2 linked regions of the Neurospora crassa OR74A genome follow. The protein of the gene in region 2 interacts with the protein of the main gene of each other region in a pairwise test. Links are inferred from orthologs where the notes say so. Each region holds a gene or a part of one and is shown on either strand. Other genes may lie near its edges.

Evidence for each region.
Region 1: the proteins of NCU01563 (region 2) and mdk-1 interact in a two-hybrid assay, tested with the Saccharomyces cerevisiae proteins (2 studies listed by BioGRID). The link is inferred for Neurospora crassa OR74A from reciprocal best matches to the Saccharomyces cerevisiae genes SSN8 and PHO85.

The regions. Positions count from the first base shown.
Region 1 is NC_026503.1:4,280,500-4,284,819, forward strand, and holds mdk-1 (cyclin-dependent protein kinase), read left to right. Parts: upstream 1-1,502; 5' UTR 1,503-1,964; coding exon 1,965-2,033; intron 2,034-2,122; coding exon 2,123-3,067; 3' UTR 3,068-4,278; downstream 4,279-4,320.
Region 2 is NC_026502.1:3,075,718-3,079,755, forward strand, and holds NCU01563 (RNA polymerase II holoenzyme cyclin-like subunit), read left to right. Parts: upstream 1-1,347; 5' UTR 1,348-1,434; intron 1,435-1,494; exon of another isoform or gene 1,495-1,554; 5' UTR 1,555-1,995; coding exon 1,996-2,155; intron 2,156-2,245; coding exon 2,246-3,123; 3' UTR 3,124-3,484; downstream 3,485-4,038. Other genes in the region: NCU01564 (calcium dependent mitochondrial carrier protein), read right to left, coding at 1-89, 185-347; NCU01562 (2,4-dichlorophenoxyacetate alpha-ketoglutarate dioxygenase), read right to left, coding at 3,504-4,038. UniProt on the Saccharomyces cerevisiae protein: Component of the SRB8-11 complex. The SRB8-11 complex is a regulatory module of the Mediator complex which is itself involved in regulation of basal and activated RNA polymerase II-dependent transcription.

The sequences.
Region 1 (4,320 bases), on a different chromosome or scaffold from region 2:
TATCTAAATAATTATAATTATTATATATAATAATAAGAGTAAGGTTAGAAACAATATATTTAAAATTAGTTTAAAAGTATTAATATAAATTATAAGATAAATAATCGACAGTACTAACTATTATAAAAATTATAAGAGTTTTAATTATTACTATAATCCTAATATAAAATATATAAATACTAAAAGTAGATAAGGTATTTTAAATACGCCTAGCAACGCCGTTAATATATAAATATAAATCTATAATTTACAAAAAGAAATCGGATTTGCCAAGGGCGACAATATATATAATAATAATTAAAATTATATATATTATAAGCGAAATATAATTACTATAACGAACTTATAGTCCCTACGTTTTCTTATAAGCGCAGGTATACTATATTAAACCTGTAAGAAACAAATATAATTTAGGCGTATATTTAAGTAAATTATTAATATATTATTTAATAATTAATATAATCTATTATATATTATACAAATCTATAATATTATATAATTAGTCCCCCTATAGAACGGAAGAAGCACTAAACTTTATAAAAAATAAGAATAGGTTAATATATTTAAGGAAAAATATTAATTCCCAATAAAAGCTCTTTATATTATATAAATTACTTTTATTACTAAAATATATTGTAATACTATTATAATAGAAAATTTCGTATATATAATTATTATATAGCGTATTAACGAATTACCTAATATAGGATTCCGATAGCTAGTTATTACTTCGAATTATCTTAACCCAACTACAAATAAAAGGTTTTAATATCCCCCTAGAATATAAATATACTTAATACTTTTAAATAAAATAAGCGAAGTATTAATCCTAATTAGTAACGCTTAAATTACTTTAATCCTATAGTAGTAGGCTATATTTAATTAGGTTCAGGAAGGTTGGAGGGCCGCGGTAAAGGGTCGGAATTAAAACCCCGGGGTTTAAATACATACAAATCGAATATATTATTATAATTAGAATATTCGGGAGAATACTAAATTTAAACAAGAGGAAGGGTAAATTAAATACAAATATAAAAAGGTTATTAAATAAAATTAGAACGGCCGTTTCCTAGAACGAATAGTAAATTATATCGAATAAATTAAGCGTCGTAGGTCTATATACGTTACTCTAATCGGAATTATAGTAAATAAAAACAAATAAATTACGTATTACGACTTTAGGGGTTTCGCTCTAATTAGAATTACGGAGAATAAAAACAAATATATTACGTATTACGACTTTAGGGGTTTCGTTCTAGTAAAAGTAAATAATTAGAATTAAGGTGTATCTTAACTCTAACTAGAGCAGAGTTCAATTGCAATAGTTGGGCCCCACAGCGGCTGACGGCCGAAATACTCAAAATTGGCTCAGACCTGCTACCGCAGAAACGGGTGGGGTGGGGTGGTTTTGGAGGTTAGTGGGTCTGACTGAGACTACTGCTGTACCTGAGGTCCCCACTGCCCTTCCTGGCGCGCGCCTGACCCAACTGAACCCAAACAACCAACCCAGGGCAACCTTATTTCCCCTTCCATGTCCACGTTTGACCCTTCCACCATCCGTCCTCATTCCGACATCCACGCCCGACCCTTCCACCGCCTGCGAACATCTACCGTACACCATCTCCCATAAAGTCTGAACCGCCTCTCCCATACCGCCTACGATCGCCACTCCCATCTTCACACTGTTCTAGACTTGTTAGATTTATCGGCGCAGAGACTGCTTCAGTGCATCTCTGCTCTCCATCACGGCTTCTCACGGGCGACAGCTGCCTGACCAACAAGACCCAACAGGCGGCGAATCCCCCAATCCCCTGCGCAAGACGGTCACTATTGGCTCTGTACTTTTCAACCGCGCCCATACGACCCAGCGACAACCTTCGCCACATCCTCATTATCTAGTCCAACAGTCCTCCGTTTCTTCAACCACAGCCCAGTCGGATCTATCTTCGGCACTCAGAGAAGCCATGGACGGCAGGAAACACCCAAGTTCTTTCCAGCAGCTTGAAAAGCTGGGAGAGGGTACTTATGCTACTGTAAGAGATCTCTCCTTGGCCCAGAACTGTCCCTCGGTGAACAGGGAGAAGTATTTGTAGGGTGCAAATGGCTGACACTACGTCCTCAGGTCTTCAAAGGCCGCAACCGACAGACGGGCGAGCTTGTAGCTCTCAAGGAGATTCACCTTGACTCGGAAGAGGGGACACCGAGCACGGCAATCCGCGAGATCTCGCTCATGAAAGAACTGAAGCACGAGAACATTGTTGCTCTACACGATGTTATTCACACCGAGAACAAGCTTATGTTGGTGTTTGAGTACATGGATGGCGATCTTAAAAAGTTTATGGACACCAACGGCGAGAGGGGAGCCCTCAAGCCACATGTCATCAAGTCCTTCATGCATCAGTTGCTCAAGGGTATTGACTTCTGCCACAAGAACAGGGTCCTACATCGAGACCTGAAGCCGCAGAACCTCCTTATCAACAGCAAGGGCGCTCTGAAGCTGGGTGATTTCGGTTTGGCGAGAGCATTCGGTATTCCAGTCAACACCTTTTCGAATGAGGTCGTCACTCTTTGGTATCGAGCTCCCGACGTGCTTCTTGGAAGTAGAACCTACAACACCAGCATCGACATTTGGTCCGCGGGATGTATCATGGCTGAGATGTTCACCGGCAGGCCTTTGTTTCCCGGCACCACTAACGAGGATCAGATTGTTCGCATTTTTAGGATAATGGGCACGCCGACGGAACGTACATGGCCTGGCCTCACCTCGTTCCCCGAGTACAAGCCTAACTGGCAAATGTATGCGACACAGAGCCTGTCATCCATCTTACCTCAGATTGACCGCGACGGCATCGACTTGCTTCAGCGGATGCTACAGTTGCGGCCCGAATTGCGAATCTCGGCTCACGATGCGCTTCAACACCACTGGTTCAACGACCTGGTCCACCAACAGCATCATCACCAAGCGCAGCAGTCAATGATGCAACAACCGCCGATGATGCAGCAACAGCCAATGATGCAGCAACATAGAGGCTACGGACAGCCGCAACCCAACTACGAGGGCTACTAGACAGAGTACCTTCCAAAAACCGGAAGGCAGACACCGCCGGTTTTGGGGTTTCCTCCACCAGTTTTGTGGCATCGACCGATGCCAGTAGTGTCAGGATCTCCTCCACCAGGATTCAAGAAGATTTGGGAGCAACTGATGCCAGTAAGAGAGGGCTACTACACCGAAGAGCAGTTTCTAGGAGAGCGAACAATGCCAGGGTATCCTCCACCAGGGAGATATCCTCAACCGATACCCGGACATCCTCCAGCATGGAGAAATTATCCATCAATACCCGGACATCCTCCAGCATGGAAATATTCTCAACCAATGCCCGGGCATCCTCTACGTGGGGAACATCCGCAACCGATGTCATGGTATCCTTCAAACCAACAGGTTCAAATGGGGCATTTATCGAGAGAAAATGGGTTGGTTAACCGTGGCATGGGTTCGACTACAGATCTGTCAATGGCGTGGAAAGGAAATTTCAAGAGTGGCAATTCTAAATTGGACATGTCACGGCGGTCACTGCCCGTGGACCCCAGTCTCAACCCGTTTCAACATGATAATGGACAGCGAAATATAATGGTGCCACACAGGCCCCCAATACAAACAGGTGTAATGGGTGATGGACACCCAAATGCGATGCCGCCGCGATTTCAGTTGCTTCAGTCATCTTTCATGCCTCCGGTCCCCCCTCCTCCACCGGCCTTATCGAGGTTACCGGCGTCACATGAGCCTCGACATAAACAGATTGAATTTCCACGAAGTTTCCAATATTAATTCATGATGTGAATGGTCCCGGACCTAACGCTGGAAAGAGAAGTTCATCTGTTTTCAGTTTGAGAAGCTGCCGCCTGGTTCTCGATCATTCCGGACAAGAACATACGCCGATGTTGCACGTTCCTCAAGCTTTACTCGCGACTGATCACACACGGCGGAAGAGCACAATAAATAAGTAGATGGTAATCTTTGTTATCATGTTTACTTGGGATGGTCATTATCTACAAAACGGGGGCATAGCTGGAGCCTTGAACGAAGATGACGGGAACAGGGTAGCGCACGCCAGAGAAAGGCTTTTGTGCCGTACTTATGCATTTGCCTTTCCTTTAATTAGTAGTTACGATTAGCAGCGAAAGTTTCCATATATGTTGAATTAAAGCGAACATTGGTGATAGTCCTCATTATTCTCATTATTCCCCTATCTGTTTACTAGAGAGTTTAGGGTGTTCTCTCAGTTGGGTTGAATTGTATATTTGCAATTCGAGATAGCACCG
Region 2 (4,038 bases):
GCGGAACTCTTCGTATTGGATCTTGCCGTCGCCGCTGGTGTCCACGACCTTGATGATATCCTTGAGCATGTGGTCGGCATTTTGCATGGCTACAAGAAAGACGGGCGCTTTGGTGTCAGTAGAGATGGCAAGTCGTGAACATGCGCATGACGAATCGCATTGGCGTTGGCAGGCATTGGCTCACGGTGATCGATCCTTCTCAACCCCTTTTGCAGCCCCTTGAAGTCGAGCTCTCCGTGGCGCTGGGGATCCAGCTTCGTCCACAATTCCTCGACGCGCTTGTCCCGCTGGTTCTGCGATTCGTCCATGCCGGCTTGGAGCTCTGCGAGCACATGGGAAACCTTCATTCCCGCTGTCGGGTTCTCATCATCCAACGCGGCATGCGCAGATGGTCGGCGTTGGTGTTCGGATATTTGCGCACGGCGGGGGAGGGGTCGGCGCGGAGAGGGAGCCAGACGACGGGGAGACGGGGAGCGTTCAATGCAAGTTCGGAGCACGACAAGAATGAATGGTCGTCGATACGGTAAAGTTCAGGTAAGGTACGGCGCAGTGCAATGCAAGTGAATGTGCAGTGCAGTGTAAAGGTTAGGTTAGGTTAGAGGTATCTTTCAGTTCTTTCCGTTCCTATGGTATTATGTATGCGGTGCTATGTGCAGTGCTGGCTCGCAGCTGAGGCAAGGTGGTTCAGTAGTGTGGTACACACAAGACCTACCATAGGCTCGGAAGGCAGATAGTCACTGCAAGGTCGGGACCTCGAGTGGTCAGGAATGGCAGAAATGAGACCGCCCGTCTAAACTAGCGGATCTAGAACCGTTTGCTGTAAGCGATTGGGTATGACGTAGGACAGGGGCTAGAGCAATAGGTAGGTAACTTGGATTTGGAAAATAAGATGAAATAGAGATCAAAATACGTTACGAAGCGACTGTTTGTATGAGCGGGACCTTCAAGGGGAAAATTAAAGTTACTTTCATGAAAAGAGATTGAGCCAAGCCACTCACGAATGGGATGGGACGAGTGGGTGGTGTATCGCTGTCCATCTACCCGTCACCCTATCTCCACGGGTATCCATTCTCCTCAAATAGTGCCTTTTGCACATTGCACCTGGCACCCTCCACAATTTTCGACCACGAATCTCGGTCCCTTTTTGAGACTCGAGACTTTGTTGACATGTAGCAAACAATGAAAGGGAAATCGGGGGTGGTGCGGGTGGCCGAAGTGATGAACGTGATATTCACGAAAAAAGCGGATCTGTATCGGAAGTGGTTTCAGTGGCCCCGTCCGGTGTGAGCGTGACACGGATTGTTATCTTGGCTTTTGTGTTGGGTCGGGGTAACACAACCCCAACATCGACAGCATTGAATTGAAGCTCGAGATAACCCAGGTTACCTATCTTGACCCAACCACCCGAAACATATTCAAGTCAGGAGAGTAGAGGTATGTAACTCAGTCGAGTTGTACCTCCAACCGTCCGGCATCCGGCAGCATCTTGACTCCACCCATCTGCAATTCACTTCCTGCAAACAAGCAACAAAGCTCTGATCAGTATCGGAGCAGGGTCATTTCTTTCGCCGTCTCCCTGATTGGCCAGCCCTGCCATAACATGTGGGCCTCCTAGGCCCTTCTAAAGTTTAAACCTCGGGTCGAGCAACCTACCTAGGGTCGGGTATTTTATCGCCAGCCTTATCAGCTTATCTTGGGCCCCGGGGTGTCCATCCGATCGCAAGCCATCACGTAATGTTTCTTTCCCGTTCAACATCAACCAACATCAAGTCGGAGCAGTGAGCTGAAGGCTTTCCGAGGTCTTGGATAGCGGCGCGTCGCAACAGGGTTTGAGACCTCCTCCATTACATAGGATTCCAACTCCACCGATCGTCAAAACGCGCGACCCAGAACATCTCCTACAGGCCAAGCGGACGACCATGTCTGCAGCGCCTTGGGAAGGACACAGCTAGACACCCGACAGCAGTTCGAGGCACCGAGACACACACGGTTACCATGGCGGCCAACTACTGGGAATCTACTCAGCGCAAACACTGGCTGTTTACCAAAGATGAGCTTGCCGCTATGCGCGCAAAGCTAGAGGCTGAAGAACCCAACCTGGTGGCCTCGTTTCCTCTCCCGCAACTGCGCCATCTGAACATCTACTTCAACCAACGTTCGTCGTATCTCTCCACGTCCCCTACCCCGTCCACCCGTCCGTCTGTTCGATGAAGAGAGTCGCCAACATACTTCTGTTTTACTCTAGAAATCAACCGTCTCGGTAAGCGCATGGGGCTACGACAGCAAGCCTTGGCCACCGCCCAAGTCTACATCAAGCGCTTCTACACCAAAGTCGAGATCCGGCGCACCAATCCACACCACGTTCTCGTGACCGCCCTATATCTGGCCTGCAAGATGGAGGAATGTCCCCAGCATATTCGGCTTATGGCCAACGAGGCCCGCGGCTTTTGGCCTACAGACTTCCAATCCCAGACAGAAGTGGCAAGGATAGGAGAATGCGAGTTCTACCTTATCTCAGAAATGAGCTCACATCTCATTGTCCATTCACCCTACCGTACCCTTACCAGCTTACAAGGGGAGCTTGGGCTGGCACAAGAGGACGTCAACCTTGCCTGGTCCGTCATCAACGACCATTACATGACCGATCTGCCGCTGCTCCACCCACCACATGTGATAGCCTTGACAGCCATTCTCTTGGCTCTGGTGTTGCGTCAGGATCCCAGCGGTCGTCTCCCTGGAACAGCCGCGTCGGCTTCGGGACTGGTAGCCGCTTCGGCAGCGTTGGCTCAGGCACAGGCGCAAGCACAGGCACGCGCTGCCATGATGGCGGGGGGTGGCCAGACTGTGCCAGGTCTCACCCCCCAGTCTTCTTCTGGCTTGCAGGCCATGCTTCCACCCCAGTCACCAGCCGGAGAAGGTCCTGCCGAAGGGAACAAAAACCCACGTATGGCAAAGGTTCACCGATTTGCTGCATGGCTGTCTGACAGTAATATTGATATTGAGGCCATGGTGGACTGCACGCAGGAGTTGATCTCCTTCTATGAATGCCATGAGCAGTACAATGACAAGAACACTCGGGAGCAGATCAATAGGTTTGTCAAAGCTCGCGGGCTGGACAAGTAAAGTATTGGTTCTGAGATCATGGATCGAATATCTCTTATTTGATGAATGCCTGGTGAGTGGTTAGACAACGGCCATGCGACCAAACGGAAAACGCTTCTTATTATCAGACTTGGACTAGTATGGCCCCTAATCCCGTGTTGTATTTTTTTTCTTCTGTGGGGGCACTGTCAATTATTGGATCATGGGCTCTCAAGCTGATAGGCATACGCATCAGTTCAAGGGCAATAGTGACATTTTAATCATAAGCATACAAGTAATGTCGATCGAAGCTTTACGTTCAAACAAGCGGACGAACTAGTGTAATGGCCCAAAGAAGGATGTCCCTCACCATAGAAATGACTAAACAGACTCTTACCTCGCCCTGGCTTTTCCATCAAAAATCACCTCTCAACCGCAGCCGATTGCGTCAACGGCAGCCCCTTCTCCTTCGTTATGCTCTCCAATGTAGGCAAAGGCGCCCCCTCGCCATTAAGCCCCCAAGCCGTCGGGCCCTGGTCGAACGCCGTCGTCCTCCTCATATCTCTCCTATGCTTACCTACACCCTTAAACTCACCCGCGCGATGCAATACAGCTCTATTATCCCAAATCACCAAATCACCCGGCCGCTCCCACCTCACACTCGCCACAAAGCTCTTGTTAGCCACATGCTCATTCAAAAACTTGATTATCCCCTCCGACCCCGGCACCGTCTTCCCCTCCCCATCCTCCAACCGCCACAAATAAGCACCCACACATAAATTCATCCTCCCACTCTCCACATGCTCTTGCACAACCTTGTGTCTCGCTATAGGACCCTCCTCCGGGTTCACGTCTTTAAAGTACTCAGGCGCCCCCAGCTTCCGACTATGAGCAGCATTATACACCCCCGTCCAATCTTTTGTCAGCAACTCCCTCTTTTTCTCGGCAGCCAACTCC